Linked DNA regions of Oryctolagus cuniculus. The main gene of each other region encodes a partner of the protein of the gene in region 2 in a complex. Links are inferred from orthologs where the notes say so. Each region holds a gene or a part of one and is shown on either strand. Other genes may lie near its edges. The genes, in order: OOEP, TLE6 and KHDC3L.

Region 1 (5,358 bases), on a different chromosome or scaffold from region 2:
CAGGCAGGAGCCAGGAGACAGCAGCTTCATCCTGGTCTCCCATGTGGATGCAGGGGCCCAAAGACTTGGGTCATCTTCTGATGCTTTCCCAGGCACATTAGCAGGGAGCTGAATCAGAAGCAGAGCAGCTGGGACTTGAACCCCTAGCCTAGGAAAGGATTTCTTAAGCGTGATAAGGGAAGTACTTTATACTATAAAGACTTCTGTCCATCAAAAGACACCATAAGAAAATGAAAAGACAAGTTAAATGGTAAGGAGAGATTCATAATATACACAGTTGAAAAAGGAGTAGTAAAGACTGCAGGAAAATGCTTGTATATGAAACAGGAACCTTCACATATTTATATCATCAACACTTTTTTTAAAAACAATATGCAGGCATTACATTGATTTTTAAAAATTATACAGAAGTAAATACCACTAAAATTAGATTATCTCCACTCAATATTTTTATTGTTTTTAAGAATACATAATATTATTTATTTGAAAGGCAGAGTTAGAGAGAAAGAGAGAGGGAGATAGAGAGAGAATGTTTTCAACTGCTGATTTACTTCCCAAAAGACAGCAACAGCTGGGGCTAGGCCAGGACAAAGCCAGGAGCCCATAACTTCCTTCAGTTCTCCCACGTGGGTAGCAAGGGCCTGAGCACTTGGGCCATCTTCCAGAGCTTTCCCAGGCTACATTAGCAGGGAGCTGGATGGGAGGTGGAGCAGCCAGGCTTTAACAGGCGTCCATACAGAATGCTGGCATTGCAGGTGGAGGCTTAACCTACTATGCCACAATGCCTGCCCGATATTATCTATAGATGACAACTGCAGCCTAGAGCCCTCTGGATGAGGGATTCAGCGCATTAATAATAGTACCTTTTCTTATATAAGTGATAGAACATTTCCATATAAAAGATTAAAAAAAAACACAGCTAATTATAAGAGTTTTTATAGCAGATGTGATGAGTATCTATTCTAAAACTGCTGAACAATTCTAGAAATGTAATAGAAAATGTGTAAGAACTGGGCTTACGTTGTGTCCCAGCAGGTTAAGCCACTAGCTTAGCCACCAGCATCCCATATGAGTGCTGATTCAAGTCCTGGCTGCTCCACTTTCCATCCAGCTCCCTGCTAATGCACTTTGAGATAGAAGGGAAGATGACCTAATTGCATCCATGTGGGAGACCTGGATGGAGCTCCTGACACCTGGCTTCTGGTTGACCCAACCCCACCTGTTGTGGCCATTTGGGGCGTGAACCAGTGGATGATCTTTCTGTCTCTATAATTCTGCTTTTCAAATAAATAAATAAATCTTAAACAGAAACAAAAACAAACAAACAAAACCACGACACTGAATGATTTTTGAAATGGCAACCATCCAGAGTCCTACGATAACAAGGAGCACACAAGAAAACCTTAAATTCGAGCTTGCCCAGGGCCTGACCTGTCTTTGGAAGGTAACTACGCAAATCTTAACGCAGGCTCTTAAGGTGAGTCCCAGTCAACAAGGTTAACAATCCAAACTGTTAATCAGGTATGAGTTAGGGCTGGGACCTTTTTTTTGACAGGCAGAGTGGAGAGAGAGAGAGAGAGAGAGAGAGAGAGAGAGAGAGAGAGAAAGAGAGAGAAAGGTCTTCCTTTGCCGTTGGTTCACCCTCCAATGGCTGCCGCGGCCGCCGCGCTGTGGCCGGCGCACCACGCTGATCCGAAGGCAGGAGCCAGGTGCCTCTCCTGGTCTCCCATGGGGTGCAGGGCCCAAGAACTTGGGTCATCCTCCACTGCACACCCGGGCCACAGCAGAGAGCTGGCCTGGAAGAGGAGCAACCGGGACAGAATCCGGAGCCCCAACTGGGACTAGAACCCGGTGTGCCGCAAGGCGGAGGATTAGCCTAGTGAGCTGCGGCGCCGGCCTAGACTGTGAAACCTTAAACTGCAGAGATGATGACCAAGCGAGCGTGCCTGAGACCCAAATGGATCTCAAACCAATACTAATTTCAGGTGGAAGAAGTCTGGGGCCAGAGTGCCTTGCGCAGACTCACTCCGAACTGGGCGGGCGTGCTGCTGCCGGGTGGGCGGGGCTGACCTGGGCCATAAAAGAGCCCGCGTGGCCTGCCGGGTCTGGAGCAAGGTTCCGGTGGTTGGTGCGAACGGTTTCAGCTGCTGCTCTCAACATGGACACGGACGTTGGAGCTGCTGAGGCCCGGCAGCACCCATTGAAGCTGACCCGCCCAGAGGACCTACTTAGGTTTCCACATCCACTGCCGCCCCCGCGCATTCACATCCGGCCGTGGTGGTTTCCGGTGCAGGAACTGGAAGACCCCGCGGTGTTCTACCTGGAGGCATGGGTGGCGGACTTGATCTTTGGTGAGCTGCTAGTGCGACTCCAGTCTGAGAGGCTCGAGCCACTCCCGGGCCTCTTTCCGGGGTGCTCTGGCTCTGTGGGTGGCTCATCCCTTCCCGGGCCATCTTTACCTTCACATCTAGCTCCTTCTGATCTGACCATGACTCCACTTGCTCTCCCCTTACTTGTTTAGGCCCAGACCGCGCCATGATTCCGGAAATGGAGTGGATGAGCCAGGCCCTGTTGAGGGTGGACCCAGTGGACTCCGGGAATTTAGTGGAAATCACGGTCCACGCACGGCCCCGTGTGCAGAACCGGGTGAAGAGCATTCTCCTGAGCCTGGCGTCATGGCACCGAGAACGTCGTGTGGCGCGAGGTGAGGCTGTTGGAGAAGCTGCAGGCGGAGGAAGCCTCTGGCTTTGCTCAGCTCCCTTCCAGCCTCCTGTAGCTATCAGTACTTACTGCCATTCCCAAACCCCAGAAGCTGCCCGCAGACCCAGGGGGTCCTTTTGGGGGGGGGGGTGCACGTAGGACCTAGGGAAGGTAAGCAAAGATCTGATGCATTCAAGCTTCTTATTGCCCAAGTCAGCCTTCGCTAGGCTGCTTCCCTGTTGCCAGACGGCACGTTCAGAGCCTTCACCTCTCCCCACTTTGCCAGATGCACCGCCCTCGTCTCCTGTATGCACGGAGCACGTGGGAACAGCCGACATTTTCCCTTGCCTGTGGTTGATATCCATTGCTTCTCTTCCAGCGGAGAAGATGAAGCACCTTGAGGAGTTCCTGAAGACTCGTTCATCGGGGCCGGACGCTCCCCTGCATCTCGATACTTAGAGCACAGGACTACGGCCAGGAGCAGAGCATTAGAACAGCCTTGCTTTTTCTAAACTTGGAGAGAAGCAGGTGACCCTAATCCCTACATTCCTTTTTCCTGTGACTTGACAGTACTTCTGATGTGAATGTGCATTTGTAGAGATATTCGAATAAATGGACTTTTTTTGTCCAATGACATAAACTTTTGCTTACTTAAATCTATAAAAGGTTGAGTGTTTATCTGACATGAGGGGTGGGTAGAAGGCTGGCAGGAGGTGGGTTTTTTTCCCCTCTTATTTTGAAACTTAGGGTTTTTTTTTTTTTTTTTTTTTGAGATAGGTCATCAATTTGAGAGCTCGTTAAAATAGTTCCCTAGGCTCTTCCTATTCTAAAAATTTGGAAGGCAGAGTGATAGGAAAAGGCAGAGATGGATCTTTTTTTCCTTTTTAAAGATTTATTTATTTGAAAGTCAAGAGTTAGGAGGCAGAGAGGTCTTCCATCTGCTGGATCACTTCCCAGATGGCTGCTACGGCCGGAGCTGCGCTGATCTGAAGCCAGCAGCCAGGAGCTTCTTCCGGGTTTCCCACGTGGGTGCTGGGGCCCAAGGACTTCGGCCATCTTCCCCTGCTTTCCCAGGCCATAGAGAGCTGGATCGGAAGTGGAGCAGCTGGATCTCAAACAGGCGTCCATATGGGAATGCGGGCGCTTCAGGCCAGGGTGTTAACCTGCTGCACTACAGCACCAGCCTCTAGAGATGGATTTTATATTCACTGGCTAACTTCCCAAATGGCTGAGGTTAAGCCAGAAACCTGCCTGGAAGAAACTCTAGGCTCCTGGCTTCAGATTGGCCCTTTAGAGAATGGATCAGTGGATGGAAGATCTCTGTGCCTCTTTGTCTCTGTAACTCTGCCTTTCAAATCTTAAAAATGGAGTTAGCACTCCAGTATGGATTGCCGGTGTCAGACAACAGCTTAACCAGTTGCACAACAACGCTGGCCCCCTTTGTCCAGTGATGCTGACTCAAGATGTGGTTAAGGTCTGTTAACTTCTACTTTTAAGACGGACTTGAAAGTTAGAGGGAGAGACAGAGTCCATCTGCTGGTTCACTCCCCAGATGGCTGAGCCATGCAGGAGCCAGGAGCCCCTTCTGGGTTTCCCTTGTGGGTGGCAGGGATCCAAATGCTTGGGCCATTCTCCAATGCTTTTTCCCAGGTCATTAGCAGGGAGCTGGATGGGAAGTGGAACAGCCAGGACTAGAACTGGCGTCCATCTGGGATGACTGTACTGCAGGCGGAGGATTAACCTGCACCACAGCACTGACCCCTAATTTGTATTTCTAACAAACTTGTGTGTAAGACCAAAGCAACTCTGAGGTTCTCACTTCAACCCTGGTAGTCTGCCCCTCAGATCACCAGGTGTGCCTTTTTCTGAGTGGTGCCTCCTGCATTGCATGTGAGTTGCTCTCCCCCACACAGGCCTAGCCTAGACTACCAGCATTTATGATGGCACTAAGTTTCACCACTGAAAAGCCAGGGTGGCGGGCCCCTTGGCCGACCAGAGGGTGCCCTGCATTGGAGCTGGCTGTTTCCTTGCTCTTGTTGCACAGGTATTCCTTGGGGGCTGAGTAGTTTTCCTTACCCATTCAGTGATGACCAATCTGCAAAAGAGCTCCTACCCTCACCAGCACAGCTTTGAAGAGCCAGAATTTTTTTTTGACAGGCAGAGTGGACAGAGAAAAGGTCTTCCTTTTGCCGTTGGTTCAACCTCCAATGGCCGCCGCGGCCGGCGTACCGCGCTGATCCGATGGCAGGAGCCAGGTGCTTCTCCTGGTCTCCCATGCGGGTACAGGGCCCAAGCACCTGGGTCATCCTCCACTGCACTCCCGGGCCACAGCAGAGAGCTGGCCTGGAAGGGGGGCAACCGGGACAGAATCCGGTGCCCCGACCAGGACTAGAACCCCGTGTGCCAGCGCTGCAAGGCGGAGGATTAGCCTAGTGAGCTGCTGCGCCGGCCAAGAGCCAGAATTCTTGAGGCAAGGTGTCAAGAACTGACTTCAAAAAAGTTAGGGTAATCTTGACTCATGCAATTTCTTCATCCCTTGCCAATAATGGCGGTCTAGCCCTTTGCAAGAATTTTATACTTGAATTTTTCATGTAAACAATTAAATTTTATTACCAACATATTCCACCTTGTTAAATTTTTTGCACCTGATTTTTATTT
Region 2 (6,453 bases):
GGCCTCCCACGGGGCGGGCCTCCCACGGGGCGGGCCTCCCACGGGGCGGGCCTCCCACGGGGCGGGCCTCCCACGGGGCGGGCCTCCCCTCACCCCGAGGGCGGGAGGCTCCCGCGGTCCTGGCTGGGCCCCTGGCACCCACAACCGCACTTGGCCAGCAGGGAGTGGCTAAGGAGCTGGTGAATGAGTCACCACGTTCTGGTAGCTTCCTGGCCCCCCTCGGCCCGGCCCCCCGGCCCTGCTAACTCGCAGACAGGGCCCTGGCTCGCTGCCACTCACAGCTGGCACGGCCAGAAGTCCCGCCCGCACCAGGAGAAAGGGGCCAGGTGGCGGCGGGGGAGGGGCAGGGACGCAGGACGCGCTGTGGCTCGGGTGGGCGCCTGCCCCCTCCCTTGCCCACCCCCCCCCCCAGCTCCCAGGCCTGGCACGAAGCCTGACCCCCGAGAGATTCCCCCCTGGGAGAGACTGGAGACGCAGCCCCCAGATGTGGGGGAGCCACCGATCTCAGGCGGGGAGGCTTCCTAGCGTCCCTATGCCCGCAGCCCTCCCAGCCGGCCCACGCACCTGCTCCTGGTGTTCCCGGATGTCCTGTCGAACCTTGTGGAACTGCAGAAGGAAGGCCAGGGTCACGGGCAGGGGTCTGGGGGAGGGGGCGGGGCCAGGGCGCTTCCTCTCCAGCCGGCTCTCTCCCGCAGGGTCCCACCCTGTCCACTGGGCGTGGGTGCCCTCGACCCCCTGCAGCGGGAGGTCAAGAGGTCCCGTGCTCCCTCCCGGCGCTGGGCACCACAGCAGGCCCCGCCCTGCCCTGGACCCTCGCCCTTGGGTCCGTCCCCTTTCTCAGGACAACGGGCGCTGTAACCGTCTTCAGCCTCCTGCTGGCTCGTTCTCGTGCCCGGTCCGGCCAGGCAGCCGCGGGCCACGCTCGGTATTTAAGGGAAGCCACGTTAAAGCCTTGGGTCCGGGGCCTGGGTACCACCGCCACCCACAGCGCCGGCCGGCATCGCACGGGCATGGGCACAAGTCCCGGCTGCTCCACTTCCCATCCAGCTCCCTGCTGTGGCCTGGGGAAGCAGCGGGAGACGGCCCAGTGCTGGGCCCTGCACCTGCGCGGGAGACCCGGATGGAGCTCCTGGCCCCTGGCTCCGGCTTGGTCCAGCCCCGGCCGTGCGGCCCTCTGGGGAGTGACGGAGATCCGCGACGGAAAGCCCATTCTGTCCTTTAGTCCTGTCAGGTGCATTTTCAAAGACTCGACAGTCAGTGGTGAACACTGGGAATACAGAACATTCTGGAACGTTCTAGAAGGCAGGGCCTGCCCCGCTCATGTTCAGTCATCTGCCGCGTCCCTCATCACCCAACCGACCGTAACCACGCAGTTCCAGCTCGCGTGGCGAGATCCGCCCGCAGCCTGGGTGCCACAGGAACGGCCACGATAGACAGCCGGACGCGGCCGCCACGCCTGCGGCCGGCGTTTCCTTGCGTCCTGACGGAGCGCGCGCTCGCTCGCCCCGGGCGTGGGGGGCTCCGCAGCCGCCCCCGGACCCGTGCAGAGCACCCACATGGCAGGGGCAGGCCAGGTGCTGGGCTCACCAAGTACGAGACGTTCTCCAGCTGTGCGGTCACCTCCAAGGGGAGCCTGCGGGAGGGGAGGGGCAAGGCAGTGAGGTGGGAGGGGCACAGGCAGTGAGGCGGGAGGGGCCCCGCCCCGCCCCGAGGGGTGGAGCCTGCGGGAGGGGAGGGGCAAGGCAGTGAGGCGGGAGGGGCCCCGCCCCGAGGGGTGGAGCCTGCGGGAGGGGAGGGGCAAGGCAGTGAGGTGGGAGGGGGCACAGGCAGTGAGGCGGGAGGGGCCCCCGCCCCGAGGGGTGGAGCCTGCGGGAGGGGAGGGGCACAGGCAGTGAGGCGGGAGGCGGCCCTCCCCCACCCCGCCCCGAGGGGTGGAGCCCCGAACGCCAACACCCGCGCCTGGGTTCCAGTCCCGGCTGCCAGCGGTGATGGGTCCCTGCGCCCACACGGGAGACCCCACGAAGCTCCTGGCTTCCGCCTGGCCCAGACCCCGCCCCCAGCCCGCTGCTGCGGGCACTTGGGGAGCGAACCAGCGAACGGCTTTCAAGTAATTCAGAACCCAAAACACTTAGCAAGGCTGCAGTGTCTGAGATGCAGAGCCCGCACCCCCTGTGGGCGCGGGTTCGAGTCCCGGCGGCTCCACTTCTGACCCAGCTCCCTGCTAGGGCGCCTGGGGAGGCCGCGGAGGGCTGGGCGCCGGCAGCTGCGTGCGAGGCCGGGACGGAGCTCCTGGCTCCGGGTGGACCCAGCCCCAGCCAGTTGCGGCCATCTGGGGAGTGAACCAGCGGATGAAGGCCCTCTCTCTGCCCTTCAAAAACACAAATCTTCAAAAAATGTTTTAAAGTGGCCGGCGCCGCGGCTCACTAGGCTAATCCTCCGCCTAGCGGCGCCGGCACACCGGGTTCTAGTCCCGGTCGGGGCGCCGGATTCTGTCCCGGTTGCCCCTCTTCCAGGCCAGCCCTCTGCTGTGGCCAGGGAGTGCAGTGGAGGATGGCCCAGGTGCTTGGGCCCTGCACCCCATGGGAGACCAGGAAAAGCACCTGGCTCCTGGCTCCTGCCATCGGATCAGCGCGGTGCGCCGGCCGCAGCGCGCCGGCCGCGGCGGCCATTGGAGGGTGAACCAACGGCAAAGGAAGACCTTTCTCTCTGTCTCTCTCTCTCACTGTCCACTCTGCCTGTCAAAAAAAAAAAAAATAAATAAAAAAAATAAATAAAAAAAAAAAATGTTTTAAAGTGATGCAAAGCTGAGATCTGAAGGCAGGATTTTCAGAGACGCGAATGCAAAGTCGCCCGGGGCAGGGGCCCCCAGCTCGCTCACCCCCAGAGGGCCCCTCCCGCAGCTGCCCTCACCTGGGGGCCCGCTCGCGGAGGTCTTGCAGGGTGACGCGGCCGTCCAGGACCGGCAGCGCCTCGGAGGCAGAAGTCCCAGGGGGAGGCTGCACGGGGGGGGGGGGGGGGGCAAGGGAGAGAGACGGACAGGTGCGCACACAGGCCCCGCCCACCGGGCCCTCCTCCGCCACGGAGGCCGCGGGGATCGGACCAGGCCTGCTGGGGCGGGGCGAGAGCTAGAGCCACAGCCCTGCTCGGTGTCTTGCTCTCCCTGGGGCGGGGGCATTGGTCGCCTGCTGTGCCCAGTGGGGTGGGGGGTCTCAGACCCGATCCTCTTGACACCTGACGGTGAGGAACCTTCGTGTCCTGGAGCTGGGAGGGGGCTTTCCCTTCAAACCACCCACCAGGTGCTGCGGGGCCCCCGTCTCCAGGTGAGGCGGCCACCCGCTTCATTGCCCGCAGCTGCAGGGGCTGGCCGTGCCGCCGCACAGGTGGGCGTAAGACCAGACGGGGGCCGGGCAGCAGCGCTGGGTGGGAGCCTGGACCCTCACCCCGCCGCGCTGCGCCCTCCTTACCGGGGTGCGCTCCAGGGACGAGGGGGTGCGCCTGGGGCTGGGCGAGCCCGGGGAAGTCATTTCGAGACGGCAGCTTCCAGAACCCTAGGTCGGAGAGCTGAGGCTCGGAGAGGGACCGCCGCCCCAGCCCCCCGCCCCGCCCGGAGCCCCCTACCCGTGGGGGCTCACTCTCCAGGTGGGAGTGGGGATGGCGCCCACAGCAGGTGTCAACGCGGAGCCTCACTTCGCGACGGTTACTGGAAGCGGGGGGTGATTCCAAGGGGGTTTTGCAGAGTGAGCAGGAGTTCCCAGGGTGCGGATGGGGGTGCGGGAGCCGGCCCGACCGCGGACGCCTTTCCCGCCGCCCGCCCCGGCGCGGGAGCCCGGCTGCAGCCCACTCCCCCTCCCGGGAACCGGGGCAGCCGACGACGTACCTCCCGCAGAGCGAGAAGCCCAGGGGTCAGCCGGGTCCAGACCCCCAGCGAGCGCCTCCCCCCGCCCCCGGCCCCTTTGACCCGTCGGGCCCCGCCCCCGCCCAGGCTCCGCCCCCGCCGCGGACCCCAGTCCGCTCCCGACCAGAGCCAGCGTCGCACGTGGGCTCGGGCTCTGCGGGGCGGCCGCCTAGCGGCGCGGACCAATCGCGAGGCCGCCTGCCCACGTGCGCCACGGCCGCCGCCGCTGATTGGCCGTCTCTCCCCGGCCCTCCGGCCCGGCTGTCACTCAGAGGTACCCGGAGCCTGCGCTTAACCGTTGCAAGCCCGCGACGGCGAAGAGCAACTAGCAGAGCGGAGAGCTGGGGCGGGACTCGGGGGTCGGGGCGGGGCCTGAGAGAGGGGCTATATATAGTGCCTGGTGGCCAGCAGCCCCGCCCCCTTTCCTAGCTGCCCACTCCCTGCAGGGGCAGAGTAAAGGCCGGGTGGCTCCCGAGCTGGGCGCCCTGCAGGTGCAGAGCCGGGCCTGGGGCGCGTCCGAGATTGGGGTGGGGATGGGAGTCGTTCCTGGGACAGGGGACGCCTGTATGCGCGTGTGGGCCGCGCCCCGCTCAGAGGCGCCCTTCCCGCGGCCTGTGCCTGGGACACAGGCACAAGGCCTCTCCCCAGCCCTCCCGCCCCCAGAGACGCCCCCGTCCTGGGACACCAGCCCGCACCCCGCAGCCCCTGGGACCCAGGCGCCTCTGCTTTGTCCCTGGGGAGCGTGGCGTGTGGGGGCCGCGGTGCAGGCCTCGGAGCGCCCCCCCCCCCCGCCCCCAGGTTCTGATAGGAGCTCTAACAGCCCGGGGTTGTGGCCGGGTGGTCGGGTGGTCGGAGGGCGGTTTTCCGCAGTGGGCCGCGGCCGCTGGCGTCCTTCGCGGGCCTGGCTGCCCCTTCTCTCGCCGGCTCATCTGGACCTTGTTGGCTCCCGCCCGCACATGTGGCTGTTTAATTAAAATTAATTCAAATTAAATAAAATTTAAAGTCCTGTTCCTTAGGCGCACCGAGTGCGTGCCCGATGTGCAGCCGCCACCTGTGTCTGTGGGGATCTAGAACCTTCCGCGGGGTACCCGGATGCCGGCGCGAGGCGGGGGTGTAGGTGGGGCCTGGAGGTGGCGGCCGCCCCTCGTGGTGGGCGGGGTTGGGGCTGCTGCTTCCGGTTGATGTGAGAACCAGGGACCTGGCTGAAGGTTGGAGAGAGAAGGCGCCTACATCCCGAAAGTTCAGCGGGGAAAGCCCTGGCCTGCAGTCCCCCCCGCATCCGATACGGGCGCCGGTTCGAGTCCCGGCTGCTCCACTTCCAATCCAGCTCCCTGCTGTGGCCTGGGAGAGCAGGGGACGATGGGCCGAGTGCTCGGGCCCCTGCACCTGCATGGGAGACCCGGATGGAGCTCCTGGCTCCCGGCTCCGGACCAGCGCTGGGGAGTGACCCAGCGGATGGAGGACCTCTCTCTCTCTCTCTTTCAACTAAATAAATAATATTAAAAAAATACTTAAAAAAAAAAAAAGCTCAAACTCAAGGACAATAAAGGCCAGTGCGGTCCCTGGGTGGGGAGGGGTCCGGGGTCCCGGGGACCCTCAAGTGACTTCGTTGGGCTTCTTGGACACAGGGAGGTGGTGAGGCGACGGTTCCCAGCCACGCGCCCTCCCCACGTTCCCGGCGAGACCCTCAGGCCTGGGGCAGGCGCGAGAATCGGGGCGCCCGGCGGGGCACCGGCGAGGGGCCGGCAGGACGGGGCAGCGGGGTCCTCTCTCGGGGTCCTGGGGCAGAGCAGGGCGGCCGAGGCCCTGCGCGCAGCCCCCTCCCCCCAGGCCCCCTTCCCCGGGGGGCGTCTGTGCCCGGTGTCTTCAAGGCCCCCTGGCCGGCTACTGGGTCTAGGGGCTGCGGAATCCACGGTGACGTCATCCCAGCCAAGCAAAGCACACCCGGGTCCCTGGGGGCGGGGGCAGTGGCGGGGGCGTCTCAACACAGCTTCTTACAACATTGGATTACTTGAGAGGCAGAGAGAGAGAGAGAGAGAGAGATGTCTTCCATCCGCTGGGTCACTCCCTGGATGGCCACAGCCGGGCTGGGGGCTCCATCCGGGTCTCCCACGTGGGGGGCGGGGCCCCAGCTCTTGAGCCGTCAGTCACCCGTCACCCAGCCTCCCGGATGCGCATGCGCAGCGAGCCAGCTCAGGCCTCAGAGCCGGGCCTGGGCCCCGGGCGCCCCCGGTGGGCTGTCCACTGCTGTGGCATCGCCTGTCCGGGGGTGTTCCCTGTGCTTAGTGTGCGGGGGTCGCAGGCCTGCCCAGGGGGCCCTGCACCCCCTCTGCGCTCCTGCCCCTAGTGGGTGTGGAAGCTTCAGAGGGCGGGGTGGGGTCGTTCGTCCGTGGGTGGCGATGCTCGCCGTCTTGGGGGCAACACCTCGCATACCCTCCCCCTTCCGTTATAGACAGAGAGAGAGAGTGGAAGGTCTTCGTGCGCTGGGTCACTCCAGACGCCCGCACAGCCGGGGCTGGGCCAGGCGCTCCATCCGGGCCCGTCTCAGCAGGTGCACC
Region 3 (5,842 bases), on a different chromosome or scaffold from region 2:
GCCCATATGGGATGCTGGCGCTGGCCCTGAGATGTAGTTTTCCTAACCCCTAAAGGCCTACACCTCCCTCCCATTTTTTAATGATTAAAAAATCCCATTTGAGAGAAGGTGGTGGGGGTAAGCAGGCACGAACCAAACCCAGAGACTGATATGGGGGTGTCCTTAAGCAGCAGCTTAACTGCTAGACCAAAGACCATCCTCTTAACTGGCAAAATACACCGATTCATGTAAGTATATCGTGAGCTCTAATGTTCGAACAAAACCAGGAACTTTGGAAGCCATATGTATATACATTTTCCCTCAACCAGCTTATGCATTTTAACTGCTTCATCTGGAAAAATCATCTAGGAGCCAGCATTGTAGTATGGTGGGTTAAGCCTCTGCCTGTGACACCAGCATCCTTTATGGGCGCTGGTTCCAGACCTGGCTGCTCTACATCAGATCCAGCTCCCTGCTAATGGCTGGAGAAGGCAGCAGAGGATGGCCCAAGTGCTTGGACCCCCGCCATCCACTTGGGAGATCCAGAGGAACCTCCAGGCTCCTGGCTTCAGCCTGGCACAGCTCTAGTGGATACAGCCATGTGGGGAATGAACATCCAGATGCAAGATCTCCATCTCTCCCTCTAATGCTGGTTTTCAAATATCTAAAAATAAACCTTTGAAAAGGTGATCTTGACTACCAATTGAACACTTGCCATCTCAGATGTTAGGATATTGTATAAAGCAACATAGTTTAAGGGGTAGATACTGGAAAAGCATGTACATACACACATACGTGGACAAAAGATACCTGCTGCCAGCCCATAAATTCAACTTTTTTTCTTCTTGGTTCTCTCCAGCCTCCACCCAGGAATGTTTAATGAGGTGTCCTACCACCTTGTTCTTTCATCGAAGTCCTCTCCCATCCGTGTGTGTGTGTGCACACAGGGTAATTTTGGGCTTATATATCAATAGGCAGACCCCTAAATGCTCTGTTGGCCTGCTACCTTCTGCTCACCAACCTCTCTGGTGCAACAGAGAATCTGATGTTTTGGTCAAAGGGGTACTACTCTCAGAACAGCAGGCACACAGGGAGTGTTCCTTCTGCTGGAGTGCAGCCTCACTTGAAGCTGATGATTCGTTTTGATATTCATTTTGAGCTTAAAGTTCACCCCTCTTTAGGCTTTTCGCTTTGCCTCCCCTGACCTTTAAAATTAAGCTGCTTTGAATTTTTAAATAAACTTTGAAAAAAAAATTTCTAACACTAGTATTATGCAGATAATGTTCAATCCTAGCACACAGCTGTTAGTGTTCATCCTACTTCATACGCAGGCAGTGGGATCAGAGGTGAAAGGGTAGCCGAGCCCAGCATCCTCTCCCAACCGAGGTGGGAATGGCCGGTGTTAGCTCCGCTATACGCCCAGGAGGCCCTTCCAATCTAGGAGGGCTGCAAGCCGTCTCCAGGTTTTCCCATCTTAAATTACTATGAGAAAAGACACAGTGGGCTTGCAGTTTCCCAAGAGGGCTGGCTCAGGGAGCCCGAGAGCCCTCGCCCCAGGGGACACTTGACCGCAACCCGGGAGGACCCGCCCCAGAGCGGCAGACACCCAACGCGCCTCACCTGCCCCGGAGGGGAAGGCCGTGTAAAGCAGATCTTGGCTGCTAGAAGAACAAGCCTGGTAACCTTCCGACTAAGGCACGCCAGGGGAATGCAACTCGTTTTATTAGAACTCCTTAAACTTAAACTCGCAATTAACACAGAGGGGGAAAACAAAACACCCGCAGCGTTCTGCCCCAGCTTCTAGGGCAGCAGTAGGACCTAGAAGAGTAGAATTACTGAGGGATCTGCACTTGAAGCCCTTGCTGGTTCTCGCTCTTGGCTCTTCATAGCCTGGTAACCGGGTCCTCGGCAGCCTCTCGAGGCCGTTGCGTCCCAGGCTCGCGCTCCTTGACTGGAGACCGCTGCGTCCCGGCCTCGCGCACTTCGATTGGAGACCGCTGCGTGCCGGCCTCCTGCACCTGGACCTTCTCTGAGCCTGGAAGTAGAGCGGTGTGAGGAGACTGCGCCCTTGTCACCCACACCCTCCTCCTCCCAAAGGCAAGTCATCCTGCGGACAGAGGCTGGGGGCCGGAACCCCAGGACGCGGGGCCAGTTTGGCCTTCTCGATCCCTGGTAGAGACGAAACCCTTCGGGGCAAGGGGAAAAGCGAGCCTGCTGCCCTGGCAGCCAGGAGACACCAGGATCCCTCCCTTGGAGCCAGAAATCGCTTGGGGGTCGCCCTGCCTTCTCCCGGGCCCATACTTTGCACCCGGAGCTGGCGGTGATAGTCGGCCAAGTTCATGATCAGCTTGGATACATCCTTCTGAAAATAAGGTCGCCCACATATCAAGATCTCAGCTTCGCCGTCAGGGTCCCATCGGTTCACATGAAGCAGGGTGTGGGAGACACACTCGACGTGCGGGATGTGCTCCCCGCCGGGGCCTGCGCGGGGAACAGGGAGGCAGTGAGCAGAGGGGTGTCTCCTAGGATCCTGGGCGAAAGGAGGGCTTGGAGCTGGGGCGTGGCCAGGCCTTGAGGGATGCGGGGCGGGTGGGCAAACGAGGCCTCACGGGCCGCCTCTAACCCGTGCACTCACCGAAGATCGCTTCCACCAGCCAAGCCTCCAGGTGAACTGCCTTCGGACTCTTGAGGAACTCGGAGTGGAACCAGTTGGGCAGCTTGGTGAGGTTCCCGAGCACCTGGCACAGCTCCCCTTCTCGCTGCTGCAGCTGCACGAGCGTCTGAAAGCGCTTGGGGGTGGCCATGCTGCAGGAGCCTCGCGGGGGGCCACCGCGCAGCAAGAAGCCCGGGGCGGCGATGGAGGTAGGCGTACACGGAGGCGGCGAGCGCAGGGGCCCGGCTGGGGCAGTATTTCAAGGGCTTTTGGCCAGCCCCTTCCGCTGGCGCGTTTCTCATTGGACCCCCGGCCTCCGCTCCGGACTTCTTTTCAAGGCGGCGCAAGTGCGGCGGTTTCTGAGTTCCTGCCGCGCTGCTTGGGGGTGGGCTCACCGCCCACTGCGCGCGGGTCGCGAGGGACCAGGGACCAAAGAAGGGACCAACAGCTGGACAATACCGCTTAGAAAGAAAAGAATTGATACCTGCGGCATGATACTTTACTTTCAGGGCTAAAGTAAATTCCCCACCCTGGCCAATGAGCTCCACCCCCCCACCCCCACCCCCTCGCCGTATCCCAGTTTTCTGAGCTCCGGCAAGGGCAAGTATCTTACTTAATGCATCATTAATGCCATGCACACAACCGACAACAGAGAGGGGTCCTTGAAACTTTTTTTTTTTTGCCTCCATTTTCCAAGTGATACGACGCTATTTCTTTTCTTTGATGTTTCGGCTTAAAGCGTTGTTGAGTAATTGCTCCTCTTTGGCTGGAGCCGCTGTCGATCCGAAATCTCGAGCTGTGACTTTGCCACTGCCAGCTTGGGTCAGGAGGGAAAGGGCGACTGGGCCCCTGTGACCTGCTGTAGTCACCGCGGGTGGGCACTGTGGGCCAGGGGATCAGGCTCCGAGGGGGCGGAGGCGGGGGTGGGGAGGAGAGCGGAGCTAAGGTTCACGGATTCTGGCCGATATCAGCTGAAAGATGCTTTCAGCTGGGCGTTATAATTAAATATTGAAACACATAATCTTCATTCATGGGGGACAATTTATTCTCAGAAAAAATTCAGAAGAAAAATACAGCGTGCCAACGGTGCTGGTATCCCACAGGGGCGCCGGGTCCTGTCCCAGCGGCTCCTTTTCCGATCCGGCTCTCTGCTATGGCCTGGGAAAGCAGTGGAAGATGGCCCAAGTACTTGAGCCCCTGCACCTGTGTGGGAGACCCGGAAGAAGCTCCTGGCTCCAGGTCGGCTGGGCATCGCAGCCATTTGGGGAGTGTACCAGCAGATGGAAAATTCTCTCTGTAACTCTGCCTAATGAAATAAATCACAAACTTAAAAAGCCCTCAGGTATTTTCCTTTTTAAGTTTCCACTCAGACCTCTCTATAGAGCAATCTCAGAACACGGTGTACATTAGTTATTCCTCACTTCTGCCCCCTTTTGCCCTACTTAAAACACGCTACATTTGTAAATCTAATAGTCTCTTTTTACTCTCCTAAGGCTTTAAATTCCACAAAGAAGATTTTGTTCACTTTGGTTTCCCTGCTGTCTCCCTAGAATAGAGTAGGTATTGGAAGTACCATGAGGGTGGGAATTCTCTTCTGTTTATCTGTGTGGCCACAGTGCCTAGAACAACATTTGCACATTGCAGGCATTTGCTGGGCCCTTGTGGACTGATGTGTATCATAACACGCGTATGATGTATATCATTCCTTAGAAGTGGGACCTGTGTGAGAGAAGAGGACATCTAATCATTGACACTTTGTTAAATGCCGAATGTGTTGATATTAATCATATAAATTAAATATTCATTTAAAATTTGATACTTGGGGGCTAGCGCTGTGGTGTAGGGGGTAAAGCAACCACCTGCAGTGCCGGCATCCCATTTGGGTGCCGGTTCTAGTCCTGGCTGCTCCACTGGTTCTAGTCCTGGCTGCTCCACTTCCAATCCAGCTCTCTGCTATGGCCTGGGAAAGCAGTAGAAGATGGCCCAAGTCGTTGGGCCCCTGCACCTGCGTGAGAGACCTGGAAGAAACTCCTGGCTCCTGACTTTGGATCAGCTCAGCCACTTGGGAAGTGAACCAGCTGATGGAAGATCTCTCTCTCTCTTTCTCTCACTCTCTGACTTTGCCTCTCTATAACTCTGCCTTTCAAGTAAATAAATAAATCTTCCAGGCTCCTGGCTTCCGCCTGGCCACGCCCTGGCTGTTGTGGGTGGCCATTTGGGGAGTGGACCAAAATATGGAAGATTCTCTCTCTCTCTCTCTCTCTGTCTCTCTCTCGGAGACATCTTGTGGGGGCCCCGGGGTCCAAGCGCTTTGGACCATCTTCTGCTTTTCTAGGCACATTAGCCGGGAACTGGATCCCAAGTGGAGTTGGCATCACAAGTGGTGCTTTATCCCTAGGCCACAACACTGGCCCTTAAATAAATCTTTTTTTAAAGGATTTTTTTATTTATTTTATTATATATATATATATTTGACAGTCAGAGTGGACAGTGAGAGAGAGAGAAAGGTTGTCCTTTGCCGTTGGTTCACCCTCCAATGGCCGCCGCGGCCGGCGTATCGTGCTGATCCGAAGCCAGGAGCCAGGTGCTTTTCTTGGTCTCCCATGCGGGTGCAGGGCCCAAGGACTTGGGCCATCCTCCACTGCACTCCCTGGCCACAGCAGAGAGCTGGCCTGGAAGAGGGGCAACCAGGACAGAATCCAGTGCCCCGACCGGGACTAGAACCTGGTATGCCGGCGCCGCAAGGCGGAGGATTAGCCTAGTGAGCCATGGCGCCGGCCCCTAAATAAATCTTGAAACAAGGAAAATGCCAGTGGGGAGTGGGCTGGAAGTGGAGCACGGTAAGATCTCTAGGATATGTTAGGAGGACTTTTGCTTCAATGCCTTCCTGAGACAGAAATGTCCTTTAAATGTGTTTACAAAGATTTCCTAAAAATGATCTGCTGAAATAACTAGTCTTCCAAGGTTTACCCTTCCTAATGCTGGCTCAAACTAACGCTGAAATTTTGCCCATTAGCATCCTAGCACGCCTCTTTGGGATGCCCAGCCAGCACCTGTGAGACTCGTTACGCTGCGGCTAGCAGGGCTGCGGAGCACAGAGTGCCGTGGGATGGGGGTCCTCACCGTGTCCTCCAGCTCCACGTGGTCCTGTGAGCAGGACCCGATGTAGGGCCTTGAGTCTGGGCTGGGGGATGGTGTGAGGCACTGTTT

Evidence for each region.
Region 1: the proteins of TLE6 (region 2) and OOEP are in contact, whole or in part, in a cryo-EM structure (PDB 8H94), measured with the Mus musculus proteins. The link is inferred for Oryctolagus cuniculus from reciprocal best matches to the Homo sapiens genes TLE6 and OOEP. Residues at the interface, in NP_444484.1 of Mus musculus: Trp256, Ser258, Phe304, Thr305, Arg306, His307, Val318, Asn320, Val322, Asn323, Glu332, Ser333, Asn354, Ser355, Arg356, Leu373, Ala374, Ala375, Pro376, Ser377, Leu378; in NP_080756.1 of Mus musculus: Arg32, Pro33, Trp34, Trp35, Pro37, Gln39, Glu40, Glu67, Trp70, Met71, Gln73, Gln94, Pro95.
Region 3: TLE6 (region 2) and KHDC3L share a complex: the UniProt entries of both Homo sapiens proteins name them as parts of the subcortical maternal complex. The link is inferred for Oryctolagus cuniculus from reciprocal best matches to the Homo sapiens genes TLE6 and KHDC3L.

The regions. Positions count from the first base shown.
Region 1 is NC_091436.1:99,171,518-99,176,875, forward strand, and holds OOEP (oocyte-expressed protein homolog), read left to right. Parts: upstream 1-2,082; 5' UTR 2,083-2,158; coding exon 2,159-2,351; intron 2,352-2,521; coding exon 2,522-2,704; intron 2,705-3,079; coding exon 3,080-3,159; 3' UTR 3,160-3,337; downstream 3,338-5,358. UniProt on the Homo sapiens protein: Component of the subcortical maternal complex (SCMC), a multiprotein complex that plays a key role in early embryonic development.
Region 2 is NC_091447.1:59,668,932-59,675,384, forward strand, and holds the start of TLE6 (transducin-like enhancer protein 6), read right to left. Parts: upstream 3,930-6,453; 5' UTR 3,633-3,929; intron 3,549-3,632; 5' UTR 3,525-3,548; coding exon 3,465-3,524; intron 2,997-3,464; coding exon 2,911-2,996; intron 1,634-2,910; coding exon 1,588-1,633; intron 607-1,587; coding exon 565-606; intron 1-564. UniProt on the Homo sapiens protein: Component of the subcortical maternal complex (SCMC), a multiprotein complex that plays a key role in early embryonic development.
Region 3 is NC_091436.1:99,180,788-99,186,629, forward strand, and holds KHDC3L (KH domain-containing protein 3), read right to left. Parts: upstream 2,969-5,842; 5' UTR 2,784-2,968; coding exon 2,615-2,783; intron 2,461-2,614; coding exon 2,281-2,460; intron 2,015-2,280; coding exon 1,863-2,014; 3' UTR 1,686-1,862; downstream 1-1,685. UniProt on the Homo sapiens protein: Component of the subcortical maternal complex (SCMC), a multiprotein complex that plays a key role in early embryonic development.